3 linked regions of the Ovis aries genome follow. The protein of the gene in region 3 purifies or fractionates together with the protein of the main gene of each other region. This does not show direct contact. Links are inferred from orthologs where the notes say so. Each region holds a gene or a part of one and is shown on either strand. Other genes may lie near its edges.

Region 1 (4,088 bases), on a different chromosome or scaffold from region 3:
CAATCTTCCTTCAAATTAATCCTTACTTTTCACCCTATTTACATCTAGAGGAAGACTTTAGATATTACCTAATTACTTGCATTAAAAAACAACTTTGAACCCAACCTCTGAAGAGGTCCGACTAATTCATTCCCCTCACCTTGGTGGGATAGACAGAGCTGGAAGGAAAGGCCACCAGGTTGGTGAGATCAGAGTAACGTCGCTCTATGGTCTTCTTGGTAGCAGGACAATAGTGGACACTGCGGACGACTTTGGGACGAACTAGAGAGCCTAGGAATAGAAAGTCACCCAACTAAACAGCAAGAAGGGGATCTGACCCAGGCAAGTCCATGATGACTCCAAATTACGTTCTTCCAACTAGTGGGGCTATCCCAATACTAACTGTTAATTCATTTTTATATTTACACACAGAATAACACCATATCCAGGTAAAACCTTAAAGTACCGCTGATCCCGACCAAGCAGCAGGAGGAATTCAGGGTCAGAATGAGGAGACTCACTGCCAAGAGCCAAGACTCCTCCATTCTCGGCAGATTCACCATTCCGCTGGCACAGGCGGTCACTCAAAGCTCCCCTAGTTATTGTGCAAAACTTGCGTTTCTTCAAGTTTCACCTGGTAATTTCAGCGCTCCACCTTTTTCAAGCCATAAGCTCCCCAAGCTCGGAGAAGGCAATGGCGCCCCACTCCAGTACTCTTGCCTGGAAAATCCCATGGACGGAGGAGCCTGGTAGGCTGCAGTCCATGAGGTCGCTAAGAGTGATTCACTTTTCACTTTCATGCATTGGAGAAGGAAATGGCAATCCACTCCAGTGTTCTTGCCTGGAGAATCCCAGGGACGGGGGAGCCTGGTAGGCTGCCGTCTATGGGGTCGCACAGAGTCGGACACGACTGAAGCGACTTAGCAGCAGCAGCAAGCTCCCCAACCTACTCCACCTCTCCTGCCTTCCATACCCCCAAGTCTACCCCACCTCCATTCCGTGGGTCTCCAACTGTAGCCCACTTACATTTAGTAACAATGCCCTCCACACAGACGACACAGCTCAGGAAGCAGGAGGTAAGGGTCCGAGGAGAGACATGCTTGGAGCCGAAGCTGCCCTCCAAGCCTATGTAGAACTCCTCGTACTGCTTGGCATACGTAGCATCGATGGAGGCCACGAAATCCTTCAAGGCCCGCTGGAAGGCAACCAGCTCCTCAAAGGCATTGCTCAGAAGGCTGCAAAGAATCATCAGGCAGAGACCACAGATTTCAAAAAACTTGACCCACAAAACAGAAGTGGACATTCTTACTTGATCAAAGCTTAGGAGTGAAAAATCTTCTACTTTCTCCTGCCATTCTACAAGGCCCAGTAAAGTACATCAGAGCTGCGGGCCAGTTATAACTCAGTGATGGGGAAATGATACTCAGCGAAGAAGTAAAAAACACAGAAGCAGGGGAGGGTGATGTACTAAGGGCTTCCTGGTCAAATATAGTTCATCCAGGTCCTCCCCTGGGAAGCTTGCTCCAACCTAGGGAAGAGAAGGAGCCATTCTCACTCAGAACTAGGGATGCGCTCTTGGAAACTCACCGGTTAGCCCTCTTCTCGTTCTTCCTACGCAGGTCATTCACGTTGACAATCAACCGGTACTGGTTGTCACTAATCAGCTCCCGAACTTTGCTCTGATAAATTCCCTGGTCTTCCTGCAAAATAACCACCGCATGCTACAGCAGCTCACAAGTTCAAAAACTGGATGTTTTTAAAGAGAGGCAGCTCTCACAGCAAGATAAATATATCAATCTCTGTGGCAGACCTGAGCCCCCATTTCACCCACATTTTCACTCATTAGCTTCCGATTCCAAATGCACCCTAAAAAGCCAGTGTATAAATTATAACGACTTCTTCATTATTCCTATTATCACCAACAGCTCTTCTGTGCCCACGCATCACTTCTTAACTTTTAACTGGGAATTAAAATGAGCTTCTAAGAAGTCTAAAAAGACAAGTAAAAACCTTGTCAAAATGTAAATTAAAGGGACTTTTAATATATCAAAGTAACTTTCCGTTGCAGAATCTTGTATTTAATTAAAATATTTTATTTCCCTATCATCTGCATAACAGAAAAGGAGTTCTCATATAAGGGACCTAAGAGTTGGGAGCCTTAGTTACATTTACAAACACAGCACTATCAATCCAAGATGCTTTACCAATATTCCATGGCTGTCAATCCAAAATTGCCTATAAAATCCCCTTTATTTGCGTACCAACCCTCTTTCTCCGCTTCCCATCAGGTATGGAAAAAGAATGCGGCAAAATTAGAACGTCCTTTTCTCCGGGTAGGAAGTCAGTCACTAAAGCCTGAAGGCCTATAACGCGGCGGGTCACTATCGTTTTCCCGCGGTCCTTCCCCCACTCTCCCCCCAGATTAAGAGAGTAGGGAACGATCTCCAAAAGGTCAACGTGGGCTTTACACTTGGTTTGCACTTGGAGAAAACCTGTTGACTTTCGCGAGACCTAGCCACCATTTGTACTCGAGAGAAAAATTACAGAATCGCTCTTAACCACTGACTCCGCCGCCAGGAAAGCTACCAGATCGAGGCGGAAGGTCCCAAGCAGCAGCCCCTCCGCCGCAGCCTGGAGTCCGGCGGTCTCCCTTGGCCCCTAGTGTCTCCGCGGCCTTTCTCGGCTCCTGCGCGGCCCCTGGGCCTCCGAGCACCCTAATTTCGTGACTCGGCGCCTCTCTCACCTCATCGTCCAGGAAGTCCAGGTAGTCTCTCTGCGCCTCTCGCAGCTCCACATCGTCCAGCACCACCGTCCCCGCCATGCTCGCGGACCGGGAATTTCTGCGCAGAGGGCGATTGGCTGGCAAGCCCCGGCGCGAAAACTTCCCAACTTTTCCCGCCAAGAAAAGTAACCTCAAGCAAGGGGGCGGGGTAGCGTGGAGCGTATGTACATTCCGATTGGCTGGTTTTCTTACGCTACAACAGCGAGCATCCAATCGAGAGCTGCTTCTTTTCCGGGTTTTCCGCGCCGCGTCTCGCGGTGGCGGGAAATGTTCCATCCGGCGCCCTCCCCTCTCCGCCTTTACTGACAGGAAAGCGGACCAATTGGACGAGAGGATGCTCGCGAAACCTGGTCATTGGAGAGCCCGCGAGACCCAGGAGCTGCATTCTGGGAGTTGTAGTGGTCCCCCTTTCCCCTGTAATTTTACAAACGTTGGTGGTTTTTTATCTCAAGTTGTGGTTACCTGCCCCGCTAAAGAGTGAAGAAACTCAGCTCCGCTATTGGACTGAAAGTAGCTTAGACGTCGGAAAGCAGAGGTTTAGAACGCAGGGCGATAAAAACATAAAGGCCAGTCGTTTAAAAAATATATTCAAATCAGTTGTGTATGGATATGTTTTGCAGTCAACCAGTCTCTAGTGGTATGCCGGGGGAGAAGTGAATTTCGAGAATCAGAGGGGGAAATAGACTCATAACATCTTTGGAGAGGTTCTGTAGTTCAGTGACTCGTTTGCTAACTGAATACTGGGGCCTGAAGTACCTCATAAAAATACCAAGCCGGAGAGGAGGGAAAAATGAGAGAAAAATTGTCGGGATATTACCCACTCTCACCCCCACTTCCCGCTGCCGGCCGAGATGGCCTTATATATGTTACACGAAATTGTGGACGTAATTACTACACCATCCTACTTGCAAGCTGGTAAGTTAAAGGCTTTCTCCCCTTATTAGCAAGTCACAGTTCAGTTCAGTCGCGTCCGACTCTTTGCGACCCCATGAATCGCAGCACACCAGGCCTCCCTGTCCATCACCAACCCCCGGAGTTCACTCAGACTCACGTCCATCAAGCCAGTGATGCCATCCAGCCATCTCATCCTCTGTCGTCCCATTCTCCTCCTGCCCTCAATCCCTCCCAGCATCAGTCTTCCAGTGAGTCAACTCTTCGCATGAGGTGGCCAAAGTACTGGAGTTTCAGCTTCAGCATCATTCCCTCCAAAGAAATCCCAGGGCTGATCTCCAGAATAGACTGGTTGGATGTCCTTGCAGTTCAAGGGACTCTCAAGAGTCTTCTCCAACACCACAGTTCAAAAGCATCGATTCTTCAGCGCTCAGCT
Region 2 (3,646 bases), on a different chromosome or scaffold from region 3:
GGGGTCCCAAAGAGTCGGACATGACTGAGTGACTGAACTGAATAGGATTGCTGGAAGGGCTAAATCGGACACATGGTTCAGTTCAGGTCATTTGCTCAGTCATGTCCGACTGTGTGACCCTATGGACTGCAGCACACCAGGGTTCCCTCTCCTTCACCTTCTCCCTGAGCTTGTTCAAACTCAGTGTCCACTGAGTCAGTGATACCATCCAACTATCTTGCTCTCTGTTGTCACTTTCTCCTCCTGCCTTCAGTCTTTCCCAGTATCAGGGTCTTTTCCAGTGAGTTGGCTCTTCTCATCAGGTGGCCAAAGTATTGGAGCTTTAGCTTCAGCATCAGTCCTTCCAATGAATATTCAGGGTTGATTTCCTTTAGGATTGACTGGTTTGATGCAAGGAGTGCAAACCAGTGCTTGGTAAATAAATACAATTAAGGTATACTAGCTATTATAATTGACATAGTCGCCTAAAGCATTTGTGACGACTGTTCTATGAGAAATAATATGGTAAATTATATGGTATGGTCTTCCCTGGTGGCTCAGTGGTCAAGAATCCACCTGCCAATGAAAGGAAGATCTCTTGGAGAAGGAAATGCCAACTCCAGTATTCTTTCCTGGGAAATCTCATGTACAGAGGAGCCTGTACACGAGGCTCCCCTGGCGGGCTGCAGTCCATGCGCTTGCAAAAGAGTGTGACACAACTTAGTGATTAAACAACAAATAACACAGGAAAGTAGTTCATTATTAAAAAAAATTATGCTATATTTCTAGGGAATACACATATTCATCTAATTGTTTTATTAGTTACTACAGTCTTATTTGGATGACTCATTCCTGTATGTACAGCTTATTCTCTTTCATGTGGGCTCTTACCTATTCAGGGAACAAAATGAAGCTGTGTTTTTAATAACCCTTTAAATTCATAACTATAAGCTCCTTAAGGGCAGGAATTGCACCTGTTTTGTTCTACCATGGGAAGCCTACTGTCTAGTGACCAATTTATATTTGATTAAGTAACTCATTAAATACCATCTTTGCCTCTGAGCCTGGCTGTGAGATTATATATAAGCCGAGAATTAAGGGCAGGCAATCAGCAACAGGGCTGGACTAGAGAGGATGACTAAGCTCTAACTGGTACTTTCAGACTTCTGGCTAAAATTCACTGTGAATTATGTATTTCTTTCCCTGATTATATTATGAAAATAAGAAGAAAGCAGCAAGAGCTGGAGAAGTAGGTGTATCCTTTAATATCTAACCATCATTACTGCAACTCAGCAGAACCTTTCTACTTCATCCCCAGAGTATTTCTAACACATTTTATTTGCCAGATGCTGCTCTAGGAGCTGAGAAGACATCTTTACCAAGGAAAGCCTAAATTTAGTATGTTTAGTTTTTTTTTTTTTTTCATGAATCAAAGAGAATGTTCCAAGTATTTATATTGTAGCCTGTCAACTTTGTATTTTTATGCAAAAATTCATTTGTATTTCTCTTTCTAAATATAGGGAGTTTCTTAAAAAGTGGTAGCTATGTCCAAAATATTGTTATCCCCGACCAGTCCATACATGGTTAATTCACAATCACCGCTCAGTAAATACATGTTTAAATCTTTGTTACCTGAGCCTCAGGGCTATTTCCACATTTTTCTTTTTATAACTTGGACAAAAATTTCTGTAGCTGAAACACACTGGGTAACTGTTTTTCTTTCCTTCTATAAGCATGTTAGGAACTTACTCTGATGAATTTGGGAACCTAGATTTTGAACGATCCCAGCATGGTTCTGGAATGAGCAACAGGTCAGCAGCAAAAAGATTTATTTCTGCTCTCAACAATATTGCCGAAAGAACTTACAATAATTTATTTCAGTTTCATCAACTTCAACAGATTGCCAAAGAGTTAAACATTCAGGTATGATAAAATAAATAATTAGTAAATCTTTTTATAATAATTTCAGGAGGGCTTTATTAGTATAGAAGAACTTTTAAACGTCAAAAGATTTAGACTAAAGTTATGGAATAGGCTGTTTTGGAGTATTTAAAACACACGCTTGTTTTATTTAAGATATAAAATTAGTTGCTCAGAGCTTTAAAAAAACAGTTTTTATCTAAAATTCAAACTTCTTTTCAAAAGAGTTTTCAACATCTTGATAGGAGAAACATAGCAAGTTTCCATGTTATTCTGACAGTCTGTGTGGGCAAGTCATGTTACACATCATTGAACCTCAGTTTTCTCATTTGTTACATGGACATGATTCCACTTGATCTAACTACTTAAAAGTCTTAGTGAAAATGGGTATAATAGCACTTTATAGGTTTTTATTTTTTCTTTCCAGGATTCATAATAGCACTTTAAACATGTAAAACAGTTTGTATGGAAAATTGCTCATTCAATTTCAAAAGTTGGTCTAATTTTTATTTTGAAGCTAAGCTAAAACAAATATAAAAGATTCTATGCATACTGGAGTTATTTTTGATTAGCTAGGTGTTATAGAATCCAAGTTTTGTATGTAAGCAGCTTTCTCTGTAAGAAGTACAAATGATTTTATTTGCCCAAAAAACTTGACAATTGTATATTACTGTTTGAGAGATTAATTTTAAAAATCACATTTTTTGCATATATTTAACAGGCTCTTTTATTATTTTCTACTAGGTTGCTGATTTTGAAAATTTTATTGGATCACTAAATGACCAAGGTTATCTCTTGAAAAAAGGCCCAAAGGTTTACCAACTTCAAACTATGTAATAGGACTACCAAGCCAGGCTGTCCTGGGTTTGTTGTGAAGAATATGCAAAAAAAAACTGTTCTCTGAAAAATGACATCCCACATGTAACAGGAAAAGAGAGTTGAACCAATTTAAGAAGTGATAAAATCATGTGTTAATTTTTTACTTCTCCAGAAGACTAAAAGTATTTTACATTTTATCTAAATGATGTAATTAGAAGTTATTTATAGTTTTGTTTTTGACCTTTCTTTTATTCTTATAAATACTTTATGGTTGTGCATATCAAATGTTCATCTGCGTAAACAGTCACAAGGTTACATTTAAATATTTAAATAGTTCTGACACACAAAATTGAGCATCTCATAGAAATAAATTGATGCCAACTTTCAATTCCCCAAAATTTTGGAAATATTGTATATTGACTTTTTTTAATTTAATTTTTTTCTTTATTAGCCGTGCCTTGCAGCTTATAGGATCTTAGTTCACTGACCAGGGATTGAACCTGGACCCTTAGCAGTGAAAGCATGGAGTCCTAACTATTTGGACGGCCAGGGAATTCCCTTAGCTTTATTTACCGACTTTGATATATAACATGATATAAGCTTCATGTGTAATTAGACTTCTGTATATACTATTTCCTCCTCACCTAAAGTCTAGTGTCCATCCATATACTGACATATTAAGCTTAACATCGTAGCTAATGAAAAAAATTTAAACAGCTGTGCAAGACTGTAGCAGCCTCTGTTCCACTCATCCACATGCCCCAGTTTTCTGTTCAGTCGCAACTGATCTCCCATTTACCTCCATTTTTCTAAAGGACATGCTACTAATGCTAATTCTTTTTTTTTTTTCCTTAAAGTATACTTGATACTGTGTTAGTTCCAGGTGTACAGCAAAGTGATTTGGTTATGCATATATATGTGTATATTC
Region 3 (4,276 bases):
AGTAGTGTCAAAACATCTTGGGTGAAATTATTCACATTATTTCAGTAGGATCACAGTGTCTCTTAAAGTTAAATCTGAACAATTGTCTACAAATCACTGACTACAGAGGGAGAAACCAAAAGCTGAAGTGTTCTTAGCCACTGCTGAATTGGTGTCCAGCTGCAATTTCATATACAGCAAATTGAAATTATTATAATTTAAAAGATTGTATGTCACAAAGCTAAATAGGAGATTTCTCTATTCAATACCAGGAATCTCGAGCCCTTCTAAGCTAAATGAATGAATGAAAGTAGTAATGCCAACGATTTGAAACCGTTTTCTCAGCTCACCCAAACTCACAAGAGCCAGATGTATAGTATAATATGCCAATCACAGTCATCCCTTGGTATCAATTGCAGGGAATTGGTTCCAGGAACAGATATCTGAATGCCAGAGTTTCTTATGTAAAATGGTACGAAATAGTACAGACGACTCTGCGTGATCAGGTCTCCATAGCTTCAGTTTCCACATCCGGGTATTCAACCAGCCTTGCCCACCAGATTCAGAGGAATGTAATTAGTTCACAGTGACAGATACAAAATAAACCCTTTTGCCCTAAGGAGGGCTTGAGATCCGAGTTCAGTTCTCCAGCTCCTCACTTTTTAGGGAGTGGAGATGATCGCATTCGGATCATCCTTCTGTTAATACGCTGTACTTCAGGTTATGAGAGGGAGGGTTTTTTCCGATATATTTCAGATCTAGGGGCTGTTTCATTATAGAACTTGGATATTTTCCAAATTTCCTCATTCAAAGGTTACTATTAACCAGATCTTTTCTGTGTACAGATACCACTGTCTTGATCCAGTCGAGGGAAGACTTGATCCAGTGGAGGAAAGTCATTACAGGGGGTTTCTAGCACGGAACCAAACAAAAGAGTTGCCATTGGCCAAAAAAAAAAAAAAAAAAAAACCACTAAGAGGCGGGACGAGGTGGGCAGACACCAGAGGCAACGTTACCTTCTAATTTTGCCCAGAGATAACTTTGAGGTCTCTTTGCGCTTGTGCTCTTGGACTGTTGCGGTCTCCGACCTGCGCAAGGCCTCGCCACTATAAACAGATAAACCAGACATCGGGAGTTTCTCCTTTGGAGTCTGCAGAGGGACACCGAGCAATATGCAGCCCTCAAGTAACCACGCGGCATGCTCGCGAGGCCACCCCTGCCCTTCCCCTCGCCCGTCTCCAAGATGGCGACCGCCCTGCCGCCGCGGCCCCGCCCCGCCGAGCCCCACCCCCTCTCCCCGGAGCAAGGCCGCCCCGCCTCCCCGCCGCGGGGCCGCGCTGCGCGCTCCCGCCGCCCCTCCCCGCACGAGCTCCACCCAGGTCGCCGGCAGCGCGGTCGGCGGCGGCGGCGCCTATTTCCCGCCATTGTGCGAAGTGGAGGCTGGGGGCCCGCACGCGCCGCCTGCCCGTGGCCGGCAGCGCCTCACAGCCGCCGCCTCCGCCGCCGTTCCCTGAGGCGCGGGGAGGCCAGGCGGCCCGCGCCGCGAGGCTTTCCCTGCGTGGGAGGGCGCGGGCGAGGAGCGGCCGAGCCCCCGACGAGGAGCAGAGGCGCGCGGGACGCCCGGGCCGCGCCGGCTCCGGCCAGTCGGCGAGATGCCCTGTGGGGAGGATTGGCTCAGCCACCCGCTGGGCATCGTGCAGGGCTTCTTCGGTGAGTGGCGGCGCCCGGGGGGCGGGCGGGGTCCGGGCGGGCCGCCGAGTTCACCGAGCCCCCGGGGCCCGGACCCTGCCGCGCGGCGCCCAGGCGGGGCCGCCTCGAGGGCTCGAGCGGCCGAGACGGTCAGCCGGGCCTGCGCCGCCGGCGCTCGGCAACCCCCTCCCGCCCGGAGAGTCCGGGCCGCGGCTGCCCGGGCCCGGGCCGCAGGTGCCTCCCACCTGCCCGATTCGCGACTCCCGAGCCACCAAGGTTACGGCGCCAGGAGCCGGCTGCCGGCCGTGATTGACGGCCTCGCTTCCCCCTTCGTGGCCCCGCGGGCGGACCCTGAGCCCCGCGTGCGGCCGGACTCTGGGGTTGGGGGGTCCTCGAACCTTTCGGGAGGACCCGCAGAGATGTGCTGAAGGGAAAAGCACTTTGCCTATGGGAAGCCCGCAGGACATTTCAAAACTTCCGGTGTGTGGGGGGAGTGCTCGCGTGCTTGCTCGCTCGCTGCAGAAGTTGGCTGTAACTCCTGGGTTACACACATCCTCCTTTTTCGAGATAAGATTTCGTGTGATAACTTAGATTTTTTTCCGTTAGGACACCTTTAAAACATGTCTCGTCTCCCCATCTCCTCTTGGGCCAGAGCTAGCAAGAAATGGTGAACGAACTCAGATGCGTTCCTGCATAGAAAGAGCTTAGCATGTGGCAGGCAAGCTCAGGAAATTTCACTTGCAGTCATGGTTAATGACACTTTTCGGGTAGGGTACACAAAGAAAAATTTAGGTCTGGTTGCCGTTCACTAGGCATTTTGGCCCCACCCCGCATGTCTTTTGCACTCAGGAGTGGTGGAGGCAAACCCAACCGGGAATCAGTGTGTAAGATCAGAACACCTGACTTGTCAGGAGGTAACTTGAACTTGGAAAGTGGCCTTCCTCACTTAAGACCTTGTGGAATATTAGCGTGAACGCTTATTAAGAAGCTAAATAGTCCGCAGCAGCCAAAACGGATGGCAGAAAATGTATTTCTTGCAGGAAAGGCTCACTGAGCAACTCTATTCGTTTTCCTTGTGATTTGAACTTGTTCAGTTGTCTGGTTTCCCAGGCTGAAACTAGAGGCAGCATATTAGGAAAAGCCCTGGGTAGGCATCCAAATTGTAGCCAGTGAACACTGACAACCTATTAAAGGAGAAATTTCAAACTATGTACATAGTGTTTAAAAAAATTTTTTTTAATCCCTGTATATCCATCCAGGGCCCTTTTCAAAAAGGGGCATATGTCTCTCTACTAAATCCTGGTAATTGATGCTCATAATGAATACTAGAACCCATAATTGTTTTCCAAAATAATGGCCTTTAAATGTGGAGTGAAGATTAAATTGCACAGTAGGTTTAAGAGGGTGCAGACACAGAGACACTTTTTAGGGAAAATCATTCAAAAGTAAGTAAGTTTTGGTGCTTAATTGATGTTTAGAAAATTTAAGAGAAATATCCATGTCCTAGTCTGGCTGGATAAATGAGATGATTTTATATTTAGTATATATTTGAATGTATTTGTGTCAGATTTTGTCTCCTGCTTGTAGGACCCTAAGAGGCAAACAACTCATTATAGTATAGTAGGTGTAATTTGGATATAAAATGCTGGCTCTACAGTATTTTCTGAAGTTTGTGTTTTGTTGATGACCTGGACCTTGTTGATGTGTTTTTCCTCTAGAATGTCTTATTCTCATACAGATTGTGTCTTGCAGAGAAGAAACTAATCCTGTCTTACAGTCATGATGTTTTTGTAGAAGCTGCTTTGATATATAATGTATATTCTTGCTATATTTTCCTATCACTGTGAATATATGGGATTGGATAGCTTTATAACAACAACATTACAGGTATGTTTGTGTGAGAAGTGAGGTGTTAAACTTGTAGACTCTTTTTGGTCTAATAGGAAATTGTTGTAAATCCATTTTCGCCCAGAGAGAAAAGTATACTCATCTTTTGTGGTTTATGAGGCCTTTTGGCCCCACCCCTGCCCAGCTCTGGTGTCTCAGTGGTAAAGAATTCACCTGTGATGCAGGCGACCCTGGAGATGAAGGTTTGATCCTTGGGTCAGGAAGATCCCTTGGAGAAGGAAATGGCAACCCCACTCCAGTGTTCTTCCTGGCGAAATCCCATGGACTGAGAAGGCTGGCAGTCTGCAGTCCATAGGGTCACAAAGAGTCAGACACAACTGGGCAGGCACATTGCCCAGCTCTCAGACCTCATCACGGTATTCCCCCTCACACTGAACCTTCTTCCAGTTCTCTGATCTTAAACCACGCCACTAGGCTTTCTGCATAGGCTGTTTCCTTTGCCTGGTCAAGACTTCCTCTCCCACTTCTGTTTTCCTGGCTAAATCTTACTCTTCTTTGGGAACCTGAGTTGGGTAACTTCTGCTGCATGTAATTATAGGATCCTGTGAAGCCTGAAAATTAACTTGTAAAGCATGTTGTTGAAATCACTCGTTTCCTGGGTTCCTTGGCTATGTTTTAACCCTGGGGATTTTAGGATGTGTATCTGTTATTTGTCTAGAATATACCTGTACATCGAAAATGCTCCATGAGAGATTTTCTG

Evidence for each region.
Region 1: the proteins of MCMBP (region 3) and MCM3 purify together in Homo sapiens (affinity purification with mass spectrometry; 10 studies listed by BioGRID and IntAct, counting the BioPlex papers as one, with this or other methods). This does not show direct contact. The link is inferred for Ovis aries from reciprocal best matches to the Homo sapiens genes MCMBP and MCM3.
Region 2: the proteins of MCMBP (region 3) and MCM8 purify together in Homo sapiens (co-immunoprecipitation; 3 studies listed by BioGRID and IntAct, with this or other methods). This does not show direct contact. The link is inferred for Ovis aries from reciprocal best matches to the Homo sapiens genes MCMBP and MCM8.

Annotation. Positions count from the first base shown.
Region 1 is NC_056073.1:24,373,855-24,377,942, forward strand, and holds the start of MCM3 (DNA replication licensing factor MCM3), read right to left. Parts: upstream 2,899-4,088; 5' UTR 2,801-2,898; coding exon 2,723-2,800; intron 1,680-2,722; coding exon 1,567-1,679; intron 1,215-1,566; coding exon 1,006-1,214; intron 271-1,005; coding exon 140-270; intron 1-139. UniProt on the Homo sapiens protein: Acts as a component of the MCM2-7 complex (MCM complex) which is the replicative helicase essential for 'once per cell cycle' DNA replication initiation and elongation in eukaryotic cells.
Region 2 is NC_056066.1:47,865,382-47,869,027, forward strand, and holds part of MCM8 (DNA helicase MCM8), read left to right. Parts: intron 1-1,712; coding exon 1,713-1,902; intron 1,903-2,643; coding exon 2,644-2,736; 3' UTR 2,737-3,646. UniProt on the Homo sapiens protein: Component of the MCM8-MCM9 complex, a complex involved in the repair of double-stranded DNA breaks (DBSs) and DNA interstrand cross-links (ICLs) by homologous recombination (HR).
Region 3 is NC_056075.1:39,499,722-39,503,997, reverse strand, and holds the start of MCMBP (mini-chromosome maintenance complex-binding protein), read left to right. Parts: upstream 1-1,352; 5' UTR 1,353-1,631; coding exon 1,632-1,689; intron 1,690-4,276. Other genes in the region: SEC23IP (SEC23-interacting protein), read right to left, coding at 996-1,179. UniProt on the Homo sapiens protein: Associated component of the MCM complex that acts as a regulator of DNA replication.